2 linked regions of the Macaca mulatta genome follow. The protein of the gene in region 1 interacts with the protein of each later gene in a biochemical or structural test. Links are inferred from orthologs where the notes say so. Each region holds a gene or a part of one and is shown on either strand. Other genes may lie near its edges. The genes, in order: CRY2 and FBXL3.

What was found.
Region 2: the proteins of CRY2 (region 1) and FBXL3 form a complex in vitro, tested with the Homo sapiens proteins (2 studies listed by BioGRID, with this or other methods). The link is inferred for Macaca mulatta from reciprocal best matches to the Homo sapiens genes CRY2 and FBXL3.

Annotation. Positions count from the first base shown.
Region 1 is NC_133419.1:19,770,339-19,774,935, forward strand, and holds the start of CRY2 (cryptochrome-2), read right to left. Parts: upstream 3,039-4,597; 5' UTR 3,026-3,038; coding exon 2,811-3,025; intron 1-2,810. UniProt on the Homo sapiens protein: Transcriptional repressor which forms a core component of the circadian clock.
Region 2 is NC_133422.1:71,808,045-71,811,858, forward strand, and holds part of FBXL3 (F-box/LRR-repeat protein 3), read right to left. Parts: intron 1,837-3,814; coding exon 1,665-1,836; intron 1-1,664. UniProt on the Homo sapiens protein: Substrate-recognition component of the SCF(FBXL3) E3 ubiquitin ligase complex involved in circadian rhythm function. Plays a key role in the maintenance of both the speed and the robustness of the circadian clock oscillation.

The sequences.
Region 1 (4,597 bases):
GTGTTACTTCACCTCTTTCTTCTGAACGCCAAGACTAATTAGACTTCCTGTCAATGCACTGCAACACACTTCCTAGGTTGCCCAGCTCAGGACTGAGGTTCTCTAGTCCAGTGCTTCTCAAGCTTTGCTGCAATAAGAGTTTTAAAAACCTTAATGCCCAAGGCCGGGCACAGTGGCTCACGCTTGCAATCACAGCACTTTGGGAGGTTCAGGCAGGCGATTGCTTAGGACCAGGAATTCAAGACCAGCCTGGAGAACATGGTGAAACCTCATTTCTACAAAAAATACAAAAATTAGCCAGGCATGGTGGTGCAAGCCTGCAGTCCCAGCTACTTGGGAGGCAGAGGCAGGAGGATCGCTGGAGCCCAGGAGGTCAAGGTTGCAGTGAGCTATGATCATGCCACTGCATTTCAGCTTGGGTTGTCACCTGAGCAGGACCCTGTCTCAAAAAACCCCACAAAAAACCAAAAACCAAAAACCAAAAACCAAAACCAAAACCAAACAAAAAACCCCAAAACCTTAATGCCCAGGCCATAACCAAGAACAATTCTAACAGAACTGGGGGAAAGGGGTTGGGCACAGTGGTTCATGCCCTGTAATCCCAGCAGCTTGGGAGACCAAGGTGGGTAGATCACCTGAGGTCAGGAGTTTGAGACTAGCCTAGCCAACATGGTGAAACCCTGTCTCTACTAAAAATACAAAAAAATTAGCCAGGTGTGGCAGTGGCCACCTGTAATCCTGGCTACTTGGGAGGCTAAGGCAAGAGAATTGCTTGAACCTGGGAGGCGGAGGTTGCAGTGAGCCCAGACTGTGCCATTGTACTCTATCCTGGGCAACAAGAACAAAACTCCATCTCAAAAAAAAAAAAAAAAAGAATTGGGGGAAAGGGGCCCAGGCATCTTTTAAAGATCCTTATGGGATTCCAATACATAGCAGCCAAGATTGAGAACCACTGCTCTAGTCTGTCCCCTTATCTTATGTTTCTCATGGCACTTCGTTTCACTAAATTATGGTTGTTTGCTGGTCTTCTTTCAATAAAATGTAGGCTCCAGGAGTTCTGGAGCACAGACACATCTGTTTATTCACTGCTGTATCCCTAGCAACATCTAGAGCACTACCTGGCAGATATTAGGCATTCATTAAGTAATCAATTAATATCTGCATTCCTACACAGCCTCTGACTTCAGGATTTGACTCAGGCATCTAAGCCACATTCCTTTTCTCCTTCACTAGATTGACAGCACAATCACAAAACGATAACCCACAAAAATCCATAAACACCTGGTTCCTAGCAAACTGGAGTTTAATCAACGGGAATTTTATTGTTGATTTTTAATCTCCCCTATCAAAAAAGAGTAGGTAGTACTAGGCAGTGTCCCCCAAAACCCAATAAAAGAAGAAACTCTGTGACAATGTAACAAGAAGGTAGTCGGATTCCATTTGGCTGGCTCTGACTGGTGCAGGGCAGTCTGAGGCTTGGCTTAATGTCCACACTAGGGATGGTCATTTGATGATGCTTGTCAAACACAACCTCCTATCTGTAGAAAACTGGAGCAGAGACAGAGCAATAAGGCAGCCTGAAAACTGTGGGCAGGCTCTCCACAGGACTCTTTAATTGTTCCTTCTATATAAACTGGGCAAGAGGGGACACTGAACAGACCTACTGCTAGGAGCACTCACTCTCTTAGCAGGGTACACACCTTGGAGAGAAAAGAATGGTGTGCCGAGAGCCACGGTATCCTGGAAATAACCCTGTCCATCAGTGCAACAAGGCCACAAGCAAACATTCCCCAGAACAATGTAAACAAACCCAGCGACTGCCACTAGGTGTTCTGAAGAGCGATGGGTACATGATGTCTCAAAACTCTTTAATTTGAATACTGCTTACAAAGAAAATACATTAACGACCTGTTCATCTTTTTCCATGATCATGTCGACTCCATCTCCTGGGGGGTCATCAGAGGGGCCCTTGATATCATGGCTTTCCTGCTCCCTAACCTTAGCACAACAGTTCATAGAAGTCTCATCTCTAATGGCTCAACTGTCCTCTAAAATCATGACAAGAGGATGACGGGGTGACACTTTGGATCCTTTTAAATTTTTTTTTATCGAGGTCAAAGCTCCAGAGCAGGGCTTAAACCATTTTGGAGAATCCCCTGGATTCTCTGGAGCTTTGAACACAACGCGATTCCACCTGAAGACACCTTTGGCTTCTTTATTTATAACATAGGGGAGAAGACTTTATTTAATGCTAAGCCAGGGTCACCTGACACCCCTAGAGGCAGGACGGTCTGGGCGCAGGGAAGCCAGGATGGGTGGTAGGGCGGATTCAAACAAGCCAGAGGCTTAGGAATGATCTCCCCGAGCCCAGCAATGGGCTCTTTACTTGAAGAATGCGAGCAAAAACCCGTCCCGCCCTCACACCACAGTATCTCCCTTCTGCCCCTCCCTGAGTAGACCATAAGAGCCCTAGACCAGGAGCCCCTGTTCCGCCACTCACTGGCTGCAAGTCCTTGGACAGGTCGACTTTGGGTCTCCAGGACCCAAGGGTCTCATCTGTACAACGGGGATCATGATCTCCGTTCCACAGGCAGTTGTGAGGCTCAGAGGGGTAACAGTGCGAACGCGCTTTGTCAGAGGCTGAGCCCTGGCCCACCGGCGCGTTAGGACCATGACGAATTACTTCCCCGGTCTCGGCTTCTCCACGGCCTCCCAGCCGTGGAGAGGTTGAGAGAATCGTGCTGTTCGCCGGTCACCCCAGGGTCAGGGTCCTGGCTGCGTCCCCGCCACCCCGCCCCGGGTCCCCTCACCTCCATCGGTTGATCCCGACTGAGGAGGAGGCCGCGAACCACGGGTCGAGAATGTAAACGCAGCGCACGCAGCGCGCCCCGCGCACGGCCGCCAGCAGCGCCGGGTTGTCGTGGAGCCGCAGCCCTTTGCGGAACCAGTGCACTGAAGAGGCGCCGTCCGTGCCGGGCGCTGGCGCCGGGGCCACAGCTGCCGCCGTCGCCACAGTCGCCGCCATGACTGTCCAGACTGCTCCGGCCACCCCCGCTCCGCCCCGGTAGGCGACGCGGACCCCGCCCACAGACCGCCCAGTGACCTATGACGCCGCAGCTCCTCCCTTCGTCCCCGCCCCCAGGGCCTTAGAGCTCCTGTGCCATTGGCTGAGTGCCTCCCGCCCGGCGATTGGCCCAGAGACGCCAGAACAGGCCCCGCCCCCTCACGTTCCTACCATGTGTGGGTCCGCCTGGGTGGAGCTGGCAGGCGGACAAGTGACGCAGGCTGGCACAGTCCGCGGAGGGCCGGGAGTGGGCCGAGTCTCGAGGTACAGCGGATCTCTTACACATGTCCTGTTCAGGGCCTGCTTCTAGAAGAAGCTGCCTGGGCTGGTAGGGGTTGCTGTGACTACAGTCAGAGACTTGCAAAACTGACAACTGACCTTCCTATTATCACCAACATCGTCACCAGCATCATCTACATCATTCTACTACAACTGCCATTTATTAAGTGCACTTTATATGGCAAGAGACATGATCATCTCCTTACATAGTCGGTCTCATTTACTATTCTGAACTCAGCCCAGTTACATTCATTTAACGAACACCAGTGGAAGAGCTGCTGTTATTTTTGTTTTACAGATGAAGAAAATGGAGGGTGCCGCAGGTTGAGCGACTTGCTCAGTATCATAAAGCTACTAAGAGGGATTTCACCCAGATTATTCTGATTTTGAAACTTCTGCTTTTATCCACGAAGCTATACTTCTCTTTGTGCGAAGATCCTTGGTAATTCCAAGTGGCAGAGTCCAAGGATGGAGAAGGAGTGCCCTGATACGCAGCATTAGAGGATTTGGGAGTAGGGACTGGGAATGTGGAGGACTTGAGCTCGTAATTATGCCATCAGATGAATTTATTTTCTTTTAGTCTGTTTAGTAGATCCAGTGGTACTATTGTGTGCAAAGCACTGTACTGGATTCCGGGTGGGGTTCAGAGATGTGGGGGACACTGTCCCCATTCTTCTGGGACGCCAGGTGGAACCCTCTTATTCCTCTGGCGTCTAGCATAGAGCTTGCTGATTGACTGACTAAATGGCAAGAGAAGCTATAAACACCAGCAACAAGGTGTTGGGGAAGGCTAAGATGGCTTAGTCAAGCTGCAGCTTTGGGGTTATCAGGTGGAGAACAGTCTGTTTCAACTTGGCCCTAGGTTGAGCCCATGCTTGGAACCCTTCCTGGACCTGGGACAGTGTGATGAAAGCATTTAGCAATTTAGTCTGCAATTTAGTGGCATTAATTGGCACCACTCTCTAAACCAGTGTCACTGCAATCCTAGGCATTCTCTGCCATTTCCAGGGCTTTTCACAAGCTGTTCCCGCAGTCTAGATCACACTCCCTCTTCCTTCTTTGTTTCTAACTCCAGTTTGCTCTGTATCATTGTTCAGTGTAGATGTCACCTTCTTGCTGTCTGATCCCAACCTGAATAGTGCCCCGTCTCATTCTGTGCTTCTTTGTGGTCACTTGTCTTGGCACACAATACTGGAATTTCTTGCTTAAATGTCTTAATGCCCCATTAAAGTATAAACTCCTGGAGAGCAGGGG
Region 2 (3,814 bases), on another chromosome or scaffold:
CTCCTGCACAGCCGGCTCTGTGTGAATTACTCTTTCTCCATTGCAATTCCCATCTTGATAAATCAGTTGTCTGGACAACCGGCAAGGTGAACTCATTGGGCAGTTACAATTAAGTGGTATCAGGTAAGCTTATACTATACTATCAGAACTGTTGTGTATATTTAATAAAAATGAATGAACACAGGATATACCAGAATAAAGAGAACTATGAACTCTCAGTTTTATAGAGAAATCAGAGACATAAAGACTCATACAATGTGGTAAATGTTAGCAAAAACGTTCAGAGTGTTCTGGAAATACACAGGTGGGAAATCTCAACCAGAAAGGAGAAGTTCCCTTCTTCTCCTATGTTGACAGGCGGGTCAACACAGATCACATCTAAGCTGAACTCTGAAGCCTGGGCTGGCTGCAGTTAGCAAGGTGAAGTTAAAACATTTGAGCAAGTATTCCACAGGGTAAAGTGTACTGAGCAACCACAAACAAAGGTACAAACAAAAATCTGTAGTTCCACAGGACCCAAGTAAAAGCTCCACGTGAGTGACCAGCAAGAGACAGATGGAGATCAAGATACAAAGGACCTTGTACACTATGAAGCCAGGAAGCACAGACTTTATTCTGAGAGCAGAGCTATACAGTAAATAAAAAAAATGTAATACAAGTCATATAAGAACTGCCAAAGCCTATTCCTAACTTCTGGTTTATAATAGCTTCAGTGGTAATCTGTAAGTGGCAGAGACAGCTAAGAAAATACAACCACAGACCTAGCCATTCTCATCACCAGGAGCCTCCTGTGGGAGAAAAGAGAATGAGCAAGGAGACTTGGGAGAATGAGCAAGCAATCTCCATCTAAAATGGAATCATTTCTTGGGAGAAGGCTGACCTTTACCGATGGCAAGAAGGTTGGAAGTGTTTTGTAAAGATCAAAGATTTGACACTATCCCTTAAAGAACAGGTTTCCGAAATAACACAGCTAAAGGATCAGCAAACATGTCAATAGTGGGAGGAGTCAGGAATGAAGCAGCAGATAGCAGTATATATAATATAGTAGTAGGATTTACACTCTCTTTTCAATACAAACCACCTGGAATTTAAATAATCTCAAACTGAATAATTCAGTAATGCTCAGAAAATCCTATATAAGAGAAACTGGAAAGAGCTTTTATAATGCTCTTCTCCCATTTGATGGGTTCTTGGCTCCAAAATTCAACTTAGAGAAAAACACCATCTTGCAAAATGTAAGGCCACCACTTAGTACAACTCTTCTCCCTCTACATAGTGAGAAGAAAAGCAATTATGTGACTGCTCTGACTCAAAACTTACCCTATTAGCTCAACTACAATGAGAAAAAATTCTACTGTACTTAATGGGACACCTCAGGCTGACCTCATACTGTCCTTTCCTCTTTTTCTCCTGTCCATTTTCTAGCATGTGCTATTCATAAATTTACCAAATAAGATTGGAAAATAAGCTGAAAGCCAGTGTCTAGGCTAGTAACTTATGCTATTCTATTACTTATGCTATTCTATTACTATATTAAAAATATTTTAAAGAGATGAAGCAGTCGTATCAATCCACCTTTAAGGTTAATGATCATAGTTTTTTCTAATTTGATGAACATACCAATGCATTTTACGAAAATGTGTCTAGCAAAAAACACAACATACCTGCTGGAGAGACATGAGGACAGCTGCTCATTTTCAACAGCTTGAGTGTATCACTGTTGTTGGCCACTAGTACTTTGAGAGATGGATCATCTACTGGAGTATCATCTATCTTAAGCGAAGACAGGGATTTGGAGTTTACAAACACAACTGTCAGTGCAGAGATAAAGTGAGACTGAAAAGCAAAAAAAAAAAAAATTATTTCAATTTTTAGGAATGAGAATTGAGGGGTTTCCTAGTACTACAGTTTATCTGAGTCACAATGACATTAATATTTTGTAAATGTTTTAGGGGTGGCACCCCTTCACTCTGTTATTGGGAGTATGGCAAAAGAGGTGACTATCTGTTATCTTTGAGAAGAGCCTATTTATGTGTAGGGGAAAAAAACATTTCAAGCCTCAGAATAAGTGTCTCTAAATTGGAGAAACCACTGGTAAGTAAAAAGAGGAATTCTGGAACCAGGGATGAGAATCTCTCAGATACTTCACTTTGCCGTATCTGGAAACCCTAGTGTTTTATAACACTAAACTGCATTTCTTTTCTGTTTGATAGGTATGCCCACTAAACAGTAACTATTAACACCATCATTAAAAATTAATAATCTATTTAAAATCTGAGACTCATTTGAGATATGAAAACTCATAGAAATTTTGATTCTAAAACAATCAAAATCATACTTAAAATTCCAAGTTTAAAATTCCTTCAAAATGTTATCTACAATATTTTCAAGTCTTCTATTTTAATGTATTTTGATCCACAAAAGCACCAATGAAATCATTCATCATGTATCATATATATGTATATATGTACGTACATATGTGTGTATAAACACATACACACGTATGTATCTGTTGGACAGAATATGACCTAAAGGAATCAATGTAGGCAAACAGGAATTAAAGCATTCTCAAAGTATGCAGCTCTCAGTCGGAGCTAAGATATGAGTTGAAACCATTAGGCAAAGAATCTAGGAGAGTAAAGGCAGGCTAATACATGGTCCAACATATTCCTCTCTATAAAACCAACTTCATGCTCCAGTTAGCTTTACAAATTCTCTACAGGAGTGAAAAAGGATGAGGGCAGGCTAAGAGCCAAGAAAGTATAATGAAACATTACTTTTTTTTTTTTTTTTTTTTGAGACAGAGTATTGTTCTTGTCACGCAGGCTGGAATGCAGTGGCACCTCCTTAGCTCATTACAACCTTGAAATCCTGAACTTAAGCAATCCTGTTTCATCCTCCCTGGTAGCTAGGACTACAGGTGTGAGCCACCACGCACAGCTAACTTTTTTTTTTGGTAGAGACGGGTCTTGCTATGCTGCCCAGGCTGATCTCAAACTCTTGGCCACAACGGAACCTCCTGCCTCGGCTTCCCAAAGTGCTCAGATTATAGCTGTGAGCCACCACACCCAACCAAAACACTGTCTTCTTGGTCATAATTCCCTAATTTACTTTTTCCCTACTGTGATTAAACAACTGGTTAACTACTTAGATTTTGATTAAGTAACTATTTACTTAAATGTTAACATCTTTCTCCTAATATTTTCATATCAAACTCAATTATATCTTGTACAAACATATTTCATTTGCAGTCTAATGACTGCATCACTGACGTCTTTTTCCATTTCCCCAATTTAGCTCTAGTCAAAAACATTTCTTCTATGTTGTCTTCAGTTCTCTCAAGATTTCCAAAATATTGCAATGCCCTATTTCAATCTTCTACCAAAGCCATAAACGGAAAAAAAAAAAAAAAGAAAAAGAAAAACAGTATTAAGTATCCTAGACTCACTTAATAAGAAGCATTCTTTCCATTAGCTCCATTCATGGTTCCCAAATTAGTACTAGATATAAGCATAATGGTAAGAAAAAAAAAAGAAAGCTTATGTTCAACATATCTTTTAATATGGTATTTTTAAATATACCATATGAGTCAGTAGGTACATTTGTATTTTAGCTATGGTAGGTACACTAAAAATCAATTCAGATTGTTTCATTTCCCATTTGAAGCTTGAAGGTGGCGCTATACCATGTAACCCGTATTTCTTAGAGTGAGTTTCCTTAACCATCTTAATCAGAATCACCTGGACTGCTCACAGGAAGAGGAGACTTAGAATCACCCCGAATTTGAAAAAGGGATACAAATCCAAAATTTAGG